Linked DNA regions of Bombyx mori. The main gene of each other region encodes a partner of the protein of the gene in region 2 in a complex. Links are inferred from orthologs where the notes say so. Each region holds a gene or a part of one and is shown on either strand. Other genes may lie near its edges. The genes, in order: phosphatidylinositol glycan anchor biosynthesis class U protein, GPI transamidase component PIG-S and GPI transamidase component PIG-T.

The links.
Region 1: the proteins of GPI transamidase component PIG-S (region 2) and phosphatidylinositol glycan anchor biosynthesis class U protein are in contact, whole or in part, in a cryo-EM structure (PDB 8IMX), measured with the Homo sapiens proteins. The link is inferred for Bombyx mori from reciprocal best matches to the Homo sapiens genes PIGS and PIGU. Residues at the interface, in NP_149975.1 of Homo sapiens: Ala4, Gly5, Ala8, Thr9, Glu12, Arg15, Arg18, Ala19, Phe22, Phe23, Val26, Leu30, Leu34, Trp35, Thr38, Thr39, Leu510, Leu511, Phe513, Ile521, Tyr522, Leu525, Phe526; in NP_536724.1 of Homo sapiens: Gln118, Phe282, Glu283, His284, Phe285, Leu287, Phe288, Phe289, Cys291, Val292, Phe293, Ile295, Phe299, Tyr300, Ile302, Pro303, Ile306, Lys307, Lys309, Glu310, Thr417, His418.
Region 3: the proteins of GPI transamidase component PIG-S (region 2) and GPI transamidase component PIG-T are in contact, whole or in part, in a cryo-EM structure (PDB 8IMY), measured with the Homo sapiens proteins. The link is inferred for Bombyx mori from reciprocal best matches to the Homo sapiens genes PIGS and PIGT. Residues at the interface, in NP_149975.1 of Homo sapiens: Thr9, Glu12, Val13, Gly16, Ala19, Ala20, Phe23, Thr230, Pro238, Lys239, Tyr244, Ile247, Glu248, Val251, Gln256, Val270, Asp271, Ser272, Gln273, Ile274, Tyr276, Tyr277, Met279, Ser309, Arg310, Ser313, Ser314, Ala315, Ala316, Phe513; in NP_057021.2 of Homo sapiens: Pro26, Arg27, Val63, Ser64, His65, Tyr66, Arg67, Lys71, Gln75, Lys79, Tyr80, Val133, Gly136, Lys191, Leu193, Pro194, Cys195, Ser196, Lys198, Ala199, Glu270, Pro271, Pro273, Leu274, Tyr526, Ile529, Cys530, Cys533, Val536, Ala537.

Annotation. Positions count from the first base shown.
Region 1 is NC_085111.1:9,170,803-9,174,816, reverse strand, and holds the start of phosphatidylinositol glycan anchor biosynthesis class U protein, read left to right. Parts: upstream 1-1,206; 5' UTR 1,207-1,367; coding exon 1,368-2,131; intron 2,132-2,693; coding exon 2,694-2,965; intron 2,966-3,213; coding exon 3,214-3,467; 3' UTR 3,468-4,014. UniProt on the Homo sapiens protein: Component of the glycosylphosphatidylinositol-anchor (GPI-anchor) transamidase (GPI-T) complex that catalyzes the formation of the linkage between a proprotein and a GPI-anchor and participates in GPI anchored protein biosynthesis.
Region 2 is NC_085122.1:2,213,907-2,217,991, reverse strand, and holds the start of GPI transamidase component PIG-S, read left to right. Parts: upstream 1-1,285; 5' UTR 1,286-1,465; coding exon 1,466-1,499; intron 1,500-4,085. UniProt on the Homo sapiens protein: Component of the glycosylphosphatidylinositol-anchor (GPI-anchor) transamidase (GPI-T) complex that catalyzes the formation of the linkage between a proprotein and a GPI-anchor and participates in GPI anchored protein biosynthesis.
Region 3 is NC_085111.1:7,583,288-7,587,188, reverse strand, and holds GPI transamidase component PIG-T, read right to left. Parts: upstream 2,759-3,901; 5' UTR 2,527-2,758; coding exon 2,361-2,526; intron 2,264-2,360; coding exon 974-2,263; intron 795-973; coding exon 574-794; 3' UTR 509-573; downstream 1-508. UniProt on the Homo sapiens protein: Component of the glycosylphosphatidylinositol-anchor (GPI-anchor) transamidase (GPI-T) complex that catalyzes the formation of the linkage between a proprotein and a GPI-anchor and participates in GPI anchored protein biosynthesis.

The DNA.
Region 1 (4,014 bases), on a different chromosome or scaffold from region 2:
AGTATGTTAAACCTTGGGATCATCTTACTGACAATATGACAGCTTAAGTCGAACAAACTGCCTAATTTCAAGATACACCTATTTTAAATAGTAAAAAGTTTTTAGAAATTTAATTATGAAATAACTGGTTGGTTAATATGAAAATAGGATATGAAAATGCATTTTGAGCCATAAAATATCCTTCAAGCAGGTTTCGATAACATACTGATCGGTTCGCGGTGCCAGATATACTTAAATCATTTTCAACCTAGTAATATATATTTTTAAATTGTCAATCAACTTTTGGACAATTTTGGTGTATGGGATGGCTCTGAAAAATAGCCTGGAAACTCGTGTATGGCCAGACGCAGCCCAGACGAGTCTATGGTTAGCCTGATTATATCGTCGCTTATTTTTGTAGTGTCAGGTTTTCAGCTGAAACTACCTAGTGTAGTATGCACTATAGCACACAGTAATTATTGTAATTATTAATAATTTTGAGAAAATAAATAATATATGATGAGAAATAGAGTTTTGTTTGTTATTTATAATACACATTAAGATCCACCTACAAGCAGCTTACAAAATTACATACAGAGAAAATACCAAATGTCTTATTATATTATATCTGACCTAACCGACCTGGCAACACACAGCTGCCATCGCCATAAGATATTGAGTATAGTTTTGATTTGTACTTCGGTGGAAATTTTGTTTATCCCGAACCCCAGGGCGTAACATAATATACATGTTACAACTAAAATCTTAACGTCGGGGCTTTAATTCTATACTTAGAACGCTACAATTTTTTCGGGTTCGCCATTTCTACAATCAAGATGCTAAGGTGACAAATAGCAAGGGAAGGTCTTCCACCGATCATGTGCTAAAGAAAACGAGCGCGAGCATTGTTCATCAGAGCTTATTAGACAAGAATGTGACTTCCTTTTTATAAAGATTTTATGGCCTGATGGCGGTGATACAATAATCTACATGGTGGGGTCCACTAATATAATATAGTGCATGTTATTATCTAATATATATTTATCCATTAAATATCTAAGGATTACGTTTTTACAAGACCATCTTACATATTCCCTGGTGCAATAAATAAATTTTCACTTTTGTTTTATGGTTGTCTTTCGTCCGTGGTTGAAAATAGACTCGAACAATATATAAACTCTTTGCTATTTCTGTTCAAAAAAAAGACAGTGACAATGACAATGACAGTTAGGCTTGTTTCCTTTCCAATGTCGAACGAAAAGTCAGAAAAGATAGTAATTGGGATGAAAACGAATTAAAACGATTGAAGTAGTATATATAACGAAGTCAATATTATGTACCACATACGTCCTTTACATTGCAAATATTAATAAGTAATTAATCAAAAAATGGGTGCGGTTGTAAAATATGTAATAGCCGGCTTAGTTAGGTATTGGCTTATTCATACAGACTTTTGGCATACACTATCCAATAGGGTAGAAATAGCGACTCCCTTAAATTCATGGAAGAGGTTAATTGAAGGTGTTTATTTATACGACCAAAACATTAATCCGTACGAAGGAGATGCTTTCCACGAATCACCGATAGTGTTAGTGATTTTCCATTATCTTTTAAAACATGTCCCGTATAGCCTACCATTTATATTCAGTGCAATGGACCTCCTCACTGCGTATCTTCTCTACAAAACCTCGAGAGGTTTTGTCAGAATCTTCCTTAACTGTCAAGAGAAATATTTATCAGATGTGTCTCAGGAATCAAAGGATATGGTTATGACAGAAAGTCAGTTAAAAGAGACATCTGAATATGTTCTGTCTGTCTATTTATTTAATCCATACTCTATATTGAACTGTGTTGGGATGACAACAACAGTTTTGCAGAATATGTTGTTAGCTGCAGCACTTTGTGGTGCGGCTCATGGATATGTGATAATATCCTGTGCGTTCTTAGCCTTTGCTACTCATCAAGCATTATACCCTGTCTTACTGATAGTACCAACGGCTATGATATTGGCTGAAGTGAACAAGGGATGTAATAAATGTTCATATATTAAAACATTGTTGGCCTTTGTTTTGAGTTGGAGCTTTGTGGTTTATATATCTGCATTTATAATGGATGGTTCTTATAATTATGTTTACAATACATATGGTTTTATGTAAGTACTTTCTTCTAATATTAGTCAGTCATAATTTTATTTTAAACTAGATAATAGAATAAGAAACTAATTAACTTTGTATTTGTAACATAATGGTATGGTAATGGTAAGACATCCAATGTACTTGTATCAAATGTTAGAACTATGTTAAGATTCAATGTTGTCATGAATACAATTACCATTTAAATATGTAACTAAAATGTCATCAATACAAAATTTTGACTGTTCACACAACAAAATGAAATAGAAATAATAGCCTGTAAGAAACTTTAAAGTACATTATTAATATTAATAGTTCTGTGTGTGAATTTTCACCAGTAGACAGAACCATCTTTGGCTATGTACTGTAAAGCTTTTACCCAGCAGTCCCTTAAGACTTACTGTTAAACTATACAATTGAGTCTCATTATCAATGTGATTTCTACAATTTCTATTAATCAGTAAATACATAGTGCAGCAATAAAATAAAAGAAGAGTAGTTGATTTTGAATTTCTTTGAAAGTGTCAATCGAATTATATAAACATATGTATACTCATAATTTCATATTTAACATGTTTCCAGATTGACTGTTCCAGACCTAAAACCAAATATTGGACTTTTTTGGTACTTTTTCACGGAAATGTTTGAGCACTTTAGATTACTGTTTGTATGTGCTTTCCAAATAAACGCCCTGATACTGTACATAGTACCATTGACTTTGCGATTTAAGAAGGAACCAATATTATTGGTGACTGTGCTATTAGCACTGTCAACTGTATTCAGATCTTACCCTTGTGTGGGTGATGTTGGCTTCTATATGGCATTCATACCAATGTGGAAACACCTTTTTACATGTAAGTGCTATTATATAAGATAATAAAATGAAGAAAAATATTTTAAAATTTATGATGCACTCTTCATTTCCATATAATTCTTATCGCTAATTCTTATAGTTTAAAAAATAAATTTTTTATTTAAATTATTCTTTATTGCCCTTCATTCAGCTATTAATAAAAAAGATAAAGCATAAGAGCTATTTATAGAAAAATATGAATTTTTATAATTTCTGAGTTTACTCATAATCTTTATATATATTTTTCAGTTATGCAACAAAAATTTATTGTTGCCTGTGCATTCATCATTACTTCAGCTTTGGGACCGACAGTATGGCATTTGTGGATATATTCTGGATCAGCTAATGCCAACTTTTTCTTTGGTGTCACCTTATCTTTTGCAACAGCACAAATATTCCTTATAACTGACTTATTGTTTGCGTATATTAAAAGAGAATATACTCTTAAGAATGGATCTTCGAGGACCATTGATGGAAAACCTGCCAAATTAGTTCTGCGATAATGACAACTGTAAACTGAAATGACAGAAATATGCATAAAACTTGTACAATGACTTCTTATGTGTAGCTTTAGCATTCAGAAAAAAAAAACTGTTATGCAGATGTCTGAATGTTACATTTGTGCAGTAATATATTACATATTGAAGACCAAAAAATTTTTTCATTCTTAAGTAACATCTCCATATCACCATTTCGTTGAATAGAGTATGTTGATCAGTTGAGACAGTATACATTCATTCAATTCTGCATTTAAATTAGTAATTTTAGGGTATTATAATATAAGACAAGAAGCAAAGACTTGTATAACTAATGACTGTAACTAAATTAATGATAAAATGCATACAATCTTTTAAGTACAGCTAAAATATTTTCTATATCTGACTGTCACTTAGTACTATTCAATATTCATAATTAATATGTATAGTTACTTTATTAGTCGAAGAAAGAAATATTTTTTAGCTCATGTGTTCATTTCGTTACAACTTGTTTTTTAGACATATTTGATATTGCTTTAAAGTTATTAATATTGTATTTGACTGTTATATCATA
Region 2 (4,085 bases):
ACATTCACGTAGTGAGACAGATTAGTAAGGTATTGAGCAGACTGTGCGAATTATTTTTTACTTATGTAGAATAATGTCGTGGATTTTTTTATCGTAATTAATGATTTTTGTGGTTTATTTGAATAATCGCCTATCAATACCAACAACGGGAGCCGTAGCCAAGTTTCTCCCTAACATGAAACAGTCTCTTGAGGGCTATGAATATGATTTAAGGTATAAATTCACTTTTAACATACAGAAAATAATTCTTCCCTTTCGATTACCAAAAAATGATTTAAAGATCTTGTGATTTAAAGATGTATTTTTAAGTATTTTATACATGTAATGAACTACACGCATCAATGTGTCACAATGTATTTTTGTGAAATTTCATACTGGTGCTTTTGAGAGCCTAAATGAATAAATACCTATTGTCTGTCTAAATAAATTCTATTGAAAATAGTCTATTGTCTGCTGCGAATCAATAATAAATTTCAATTTCTAGTGTTGGACTACTATACAGTTGAAACTTAGACCTCACATTTATCAAAGAGTGCATTCCAGCAGTGATTGATTTCCATACTTAGATAATTACTTAACACAAGGTGAGCCGTAAGCTCGTTCAGTCATCTCAGCAAAAAATGTGTTAAACATTAGTTATGAGTTAAAAATAATTCAATTACGACAAAAAATATTTTGTCGCACTTTAATTCACACGTTTTTTTTTCTTATTGCTCCCTGATGCACGTATTCTGAACATTGAAGATACATAACCAAAAGACTTTTTGGCGAGAACACGAGAACTGAAGTTGTGTCATTTGTTTTATTTTTTCTATTTAATGTTTCTTCAGGTTTCAATGTGTAATAACGGTGGTTTATTAACTGTGAAAGTGCGCAAATGTGGGAAAATAAAACAAAGCCGCTGGATGTAACTTCTCGGGATCCTCCAAAAAGTCCACTGAAAAAATCTCAGTAAATGGCCACCATATTACTGAGATTATATTGCATACCATATCATCTCAACTCATTTTATTTCATTTCACTTCATTTCATGGCAAGTTTCATATTAATCAACTTCATTTCATTTCACTTCATAATATTATCATTAAGAATTTAATTAAAATAAGACTTGACCTAAAGGTCTTAGATACCAGGTTATAAAATCCCTATATAAAATAACAATCAAAAGATAATGCAAATGACCTTATTTCAGAAATTATATAGAACAGACAAGGCTGTATGGGCTTAGATCCTTTTGCCTTTCCTAATAAGGAAAAATTGTACAAAAAAAAAACGATGACCAACATAACAAAAATAAATGTCAGTTTCATAAATTTGTTTACTAAAACAGCTGATAAACAGTAAATGTGGTATTTTTTCGATTTATAACATACACTTTGAATTCATTTTGAAGGAAAAATAGTGAACAGTGATTGTAATACACCTCGTAATAGTTAGCAATCAATAAACACGGCCAGTGTTGAAAATGGGAAGTGAAAATAATATAAGCAATGCTGATGGTAAGTCATATTTGTAGTTTAAACCCAGTAATTTTACATAATACAAATGATCTTATACACATATATGTATTCTGGGACAAAATAAAGACAATTTTGGCCAGGATAATAAGCATAAAATGTTTTTAAATTATAGGTTATAAATTTGTAAATGCTTTAGGTAAGCAATCTAACAAATATTTAGATTTGATGTAAATAGCTACAATTATATATTTCATTGTAATAACAGATATCATATATTGACCTCGTCACACAGATCAATTTGTTAAGGTTAAAAATCAGAATTTATGTGTGTGCAATAAATACCGTTTAATATCAACAAGATTTTTGTCTTTAAAGAAAATGATACACTCATTATTTGGTTAACTGGCTTCTTCTACTTTGTCTCCACCTTATCCCACTAGGTGGGGTCGGCACAGCGATTTTTTCTGTTCCATTTTCTTCTATCAGCCGTCATCTCAACACTCACTCCTCTCTCTCTCTCATATCGGGCTGCCCAGGACCTATCATTGTGGTGACCCTTGTGCGAGGCCTATCTAGTGGATGTCTATGAGCTCATGATGATGAATGATCTTTTATAACTTTATTCTCATATTTCCTTTTCTTCCTTCTGTTTTGGGCTTTTATTATACTTTTTATATTTATGTATTTTAGTAATTATTTTATGTTTTTTAACTTAATTGAGACTAGTCTCAATCTCAAGGTGGGAGGCGAAAAGATATAGTGACCTCAAAAATAACATGCCCAGTTTCGAATCGAACAACTGCACGCAGGTCAAAAAAGATTGAAATATGTAATTAATGTGTTCAGAAATGACTGCCAAGAAGAAAAAATACATTGTATATTAAAATCAAACCAGCAAGTAATATTTTTCATGATTATAGTAGTAGGGTCTCGTGTGAGCCTTTGAGGCTTTGAGCTCATGACACAGCGTGTGGCGGTATTCTGTTGTCATGTCTCTTAAGCTCCAGTAACTAATCAAAAGCAATTTAGGCTATGAGCTCAGTCATCGAACTAGGCAATAAAAAATAAGTTAAAATCATGATTGACTAAATTATTTGCAGTAATCATGGTTGACTAAATTATTTACTGTACATTTTACTATTGCATCAGCATAGCTAAAACATTTTTCATTACATTTTATGGTGCTTAAATTATCAACATTTTATCTAATGTACCTAAATCAAATATTTTGCCAATGTAGCTAATATTACTCTCAAAAACATGAAAATACTATGAGACGCAAATAGAGAAACAAATAGGTACCTGATACTCAGATTTGTGATTTTCAGGGCTAGCGGTGGTGGTTCTTATTTTCCAAAACAGTTATAGATTTAGAGCTTACATGATTGTGACGCCTTCTTTATGGAATCTAATTAATCCTCCTTGAAGGTGTATGATTTTCAAAAAGTTTACTGAACAACGTATTTTTGAATTTAGAACTCACGAACGACCCATTTGCATTCCCGCTTCTTTACGCGCACGGCACGACACGAGAACCCTCTCATCGTGGCCGCCGGTAACTACATTCCCGATCCTGCGGACAGAATGGAAGGCAGTCGACGTCGCCCAAAACACGTCATGTCGGATCCTCCCGATGCACTAACGGTGCTTTTAGGTACTTCAAGCACCGGTCACCGTTCTCGTCGAACCCGTCGCTTGCGACGAAGGGCTCGACGAGCAAATTAACTCTCAGACACAGCCCACTGAGTTTCTCGCCGGATCTTCTCAGTGGGTCGCGTTTCCGATCCGGTGGTAGATTCTGCGAAGCACAGCTCTTGTTAGGGTTCGTGTTAGCAACGTCATCAGGTTTGAGCCCCGCGAGCTCACCTACAAACGTTAGGGTTACGCGGAAATAGCCTCTCAAGGCTCTCAGCTTAGGTAGGAAAAAAAAAATATATATATACGCGCAACATACAAAATATTATAGCATACAACATATAAAAGCTAAATTCAACCCGTTTTTTACCATCGTTATCGCATATGTACTTACTAATTTTCTTTAAAATTGTACAGTGCTCGCTTCCCGTTTGCTGCTGAGAAACCCGTTTCTTGTCGACCGGTGTGCTTAGTGCAAGTTTTTTAACGTTCTCGATAGCGTAAAAGTTAACTCAAATTTGTATGCAGTTGGAACAGCGTCCCTAGCGGCAAACGTAGGCAAGCGTTCCAACTTTTACGTTATCGATAACGCAAAAAAACTGGCATTTAGAACACAGAATAGGGTATTTATTTCTCAATTCATTTTACGAAAAAAGAATTCGGTTTCTTTAAATGGTATTTACAGTAAGAGCTAAAACATTTCATGATCCATTCGGGATGCTCAAGGCGATGAATTTGTTTAAATCTATTCGGAATCCTCTACATCAGCATTCCTTAATAATACTATAATTTACGTAATTGATGCCACGACTGTATGCCAATATATGTTTTGCTTTTATTTTCTCTTGCTCACAAATTGCTTTGGGATGTTTGAATATGGCGATAGATATGTTGCCAATTCTTATGTAAGTTGTTTTTTTTTGTAGATTATATGGCTGGCAACGGCAGTATGGCAAATGAAAGATATGTTACGCACATAACAGTGGTAGT
Region 3 (3,901 bases), on a different chromosome or scaffold from region 2:
CGCGGAGACTGACGTCGTTGGTCGTCGACTATCGCCTCGACGACCCGTCGGTCGGGCGTCCTCGGGGTGGCGCCGCGTGTCTGGTTGTAGTGTTGACCGCGGGAACCCCTCTACTCTGAACGGGTTCTGACCCCGGACGGATTTCGGACGTCGGGTGTAAGAGTGCAGGGGAGTCGTTTAGTGGGTGGGACCTAAAACCCTTGGGCCCGCGATCTGCTCTCAACACCTGCAGATCGTTGAGTCTCACATACCCCGCGCGCCACCTAGGCGCGGGGACCTCGTAGGAGGTTCGGCCTTCTACCCGAAAGAAAAAAAAAGAAAAAAAAAAGGTGTCCATGCTTGTTATTGAGCTCCTCTGAGAGAGACTTATTTTTATTTCCTTTTTCTCACGATTTTCTTCACTCTAAGTTAATAATTAAAGTGTTCCTCCTATCAGGGCTTATTCCCTCTAGCTGAGATTCCAATTATAGGATTTTATTTATAGATATCTTATGTGAAACAGAATAAATTAATTATTAAAGCTTTTTTATTTTATTTATACAATTTATTTGGTATTGCAAATTTATGAAAATTTCACTCCTTTTTCTTTTTAAATAAATTAATAATCTTTTGTTTTAAAGTAACAGAAGAACCAACAACTTTGAGAACTAATTCTTTTGTACAAATATTATGCAGAGGTCCAAAAGCAAGGGCCACAACTGTACAAGCAAGACATATCACATTATATGGCATACTGAAGTCTGGTGTTGGTAATGATACCATCACACCATTAGTACGAAATACTGCAGGATACCCTGGAAAAAAAAAATGCAGTTAGACATTGCTGAATTGTATGAACTGATGCTGTAATGTACTTGTGGGAAAATACTAAATTGTACCAAAATCTAGGGAAGTTATATTATTGTTAGGAACACAAAACAAAAACTATTTACAATGTAGTTTAGGTCAAAATTGAATATCTATTTTTGCTTACATGGTTTTGATGCATTAATTGAAGATTCAAATAAGCTTGCAGTCCCTGGTAAACTAGTATAATTTCTTGCTGTTGGTAAATTAGCAGTTATTATTGCTGACCCAACATAAAAGCCATGATTAGCATCTGGTGGATACTCTTGCCATTTTAAGAATACGAATTCAAAATCAATAGTTATCTTAGTTGCTGACTTAGGTGGTAGCCTCAGCAGTAACTCCAAGTGATAAGGTTTTTGTCTGCTACGCCCAGGTGAATAATGCCTAGCTAACACCATCTCACTTGACGCTTCCCCGTTGATTCTTAAAGAGCTTAATTGAATAGGCAACCACCAAGGCGCATTCTGCAATACAACAACATCAATGGAGGACCAAAAAGTATTGGTCAGTTCAGTCACAATACCTCCAAATTCCTTTCCATAACCTAATACATAACGATTGAAATAAAGTGGGGGCAGTTTCATAAGAACCAAATCTTTCTTACTGATATATTTGGCTCCAATAGTAGTCATTTTGTTTTCAGGTTTAATTGTGTACAGAGCAAGTTTTGTTTCACTGCCTCCTCGCTGTGACAGTAGAACCTTTTCTGGCTCTGGAGATAGAAGGAATGGCTGGGTATCATTGGTGGTGATATCTACATACACTTTGCTACTTGATGCAAGAGGGCATCCACCAGGCAACCCTTGGCCAAATAATTTAGTAAAAGACCAATCAGTGGTTCGAATAATCTTAGAATCATAAACCAAAGCTACCGTTTGCTTTATCTCTAGGCTCACTACTGAACAATCACTAGATGAACACACTTTTCTTGTATGAACTCCAATAGAATGATAATTGGTATTGTGTATCATTCTTGAGTTTAACAATGCTGAAAGCCCTCTACTAGATTCACAAGGAAGAAGTTTCTTCCATGGTGTTAAGTTTTCTGTGCATACAATTTCTCTAGGCAGAGAAGCATAGCGTAACTGTGATGTTATATTAGGATTTTGTGGTATAGCACCGGTCGGTTGTAATGCCATTTGAGGTGTTATAGTGTTGAAATCTTCAATAAAATTTAAAGATGCACAGAACAGTCCTGCAAGGGTGGAACTTAATTTTTTCCATTGTGTATCAACATTTTCCACATCTGAGGAAAACCAAGCGTATAGTTCTGCTCCAGGAGCTGCATCAAGCACAGGATAACCCCAATGATTATGCCTCCACTGCCCCTCGGTTAGTGTGAAATGCAGTTCATCAACTTGGAATCGTGTCAACACTTCCACCAAAGACCTAGGTGCTAAATAGGTGTGCTCGGCTGGAAAACATTTTTGTAAAATAAATATCCAAAACTATGTTTATAAAAAAGCCGTCATACAAAAACATAGTTGCTAAATAGTGAGCACTGCACTTACATGACAGGTTATCATTTACTAAGGTAGTAAATTGAAAATATGTGTAAAGGTGTGCCGGTGGTAGAGGTTTAATAAATAGCTCTTCATTAAATAAATCACCATTAGCGTTAAAAATTGTCTCAATGAATACGGCAATAAAAAACAGAAAGTTTTTCGAGTTAAACATCCTGTTTAAATTTGTCTTTTAATTTGATTATACCTAACACATACATATATTGCAATTTAATTCAAAGAGCATAATTAAATTCTTATTTCTTTGCAAATCGGCTTTTAATTTTTAACTTTATCTATCTAGCTCCATAGATAATAGCAATCTAGCTTCATAGATATATATTTTTTTGGTCCAATTTTTCGTTATTAGGAAAGGCAAGGGGATCTAAGCCCATACAGTCTTGTCTGTTCTATATAATTTCTGAAATAAACTCCATAGATAATAATATTATAGGTCTACCCATGGAGTTAATAAGTACCTACAAGTAAGTACCTACCTTAGAGTAGTAACTCTATGGGTCTACCAGGATCTGATGGCGAAAAGAGAAAAAAGAAATTGACGCTAGCAATACTGGGGAAATTGGAGTAAAGCGGACTTTTTGGCGGGAACGCGAGGAATGAAGTTGTGTGATTTGTTTTATTTTGTCTATTTGGTGTTTCTTCAGGTTTAAATGTGTAATGATGGTGGTTTATTAACTGTTTAATATTTGTGAAAGTGCACAAATGTGGGAAAATGAAACAAAGTCGCTGGACGTCACTTCTCGGGATTCTCCAAAAAGTCCAACGAAAAAGTCTCAGTAAATGACCACAATTTTACTGAGATTATATTTCATCCCATATCATCTCATCTCATTATATTATTACACTACAAAAAATGGAAGATTTTGCAACGATTAAAAAACTAGTATTGCGCGTCGAAAGATTTTCCTGGTTTTTTCCCCATTCACCTCTCGATCCCTAATCACCCCATTTTACGGTATCTACTGAAAATGTCACTCATTTAATTGTTTACACTGAAGTAGGAAACCTAAGGTCTATGATTGTTTATTACGATCATTCATTGACAGTTCGGGCATAGATTATACACTTAATATATTTGAGATAGATGCGCAACTCTCATTTTTATTTTTGCTTTAGTTAGAGCCCGGGACAGCAGGCGTCGCTGCTGTCGATTATTAGTCTCCCTACCCCCCACCAGGTGGCTTTTTTAGTAATTTTAATATTTTTTATAATTAACTCTCTTTATGAAAAAATCTTATCGTTTAGAATCGCTGAAATTCCCGGTAGTACTTATGAAATATTAAAGAACGTTTGATTGTGTTCAGCATTCTAATCGATAAGACCTTTTCATACAGAGAGAAAACAGTTTTTTTAAATAAAAAGCTGTAATTCTCTGTAAGCTATTTAATTTCCCTATATTACAAACAATTTACTGTTAAAAGATAGTATGAACGTACAATTGTATAAAATTTCGAATAACAATAACTCCTCTAGATTAATCCTACTAGAGTACTTAATCGAAAGTTATCTAAAAGTTAATTAAGTCTAGA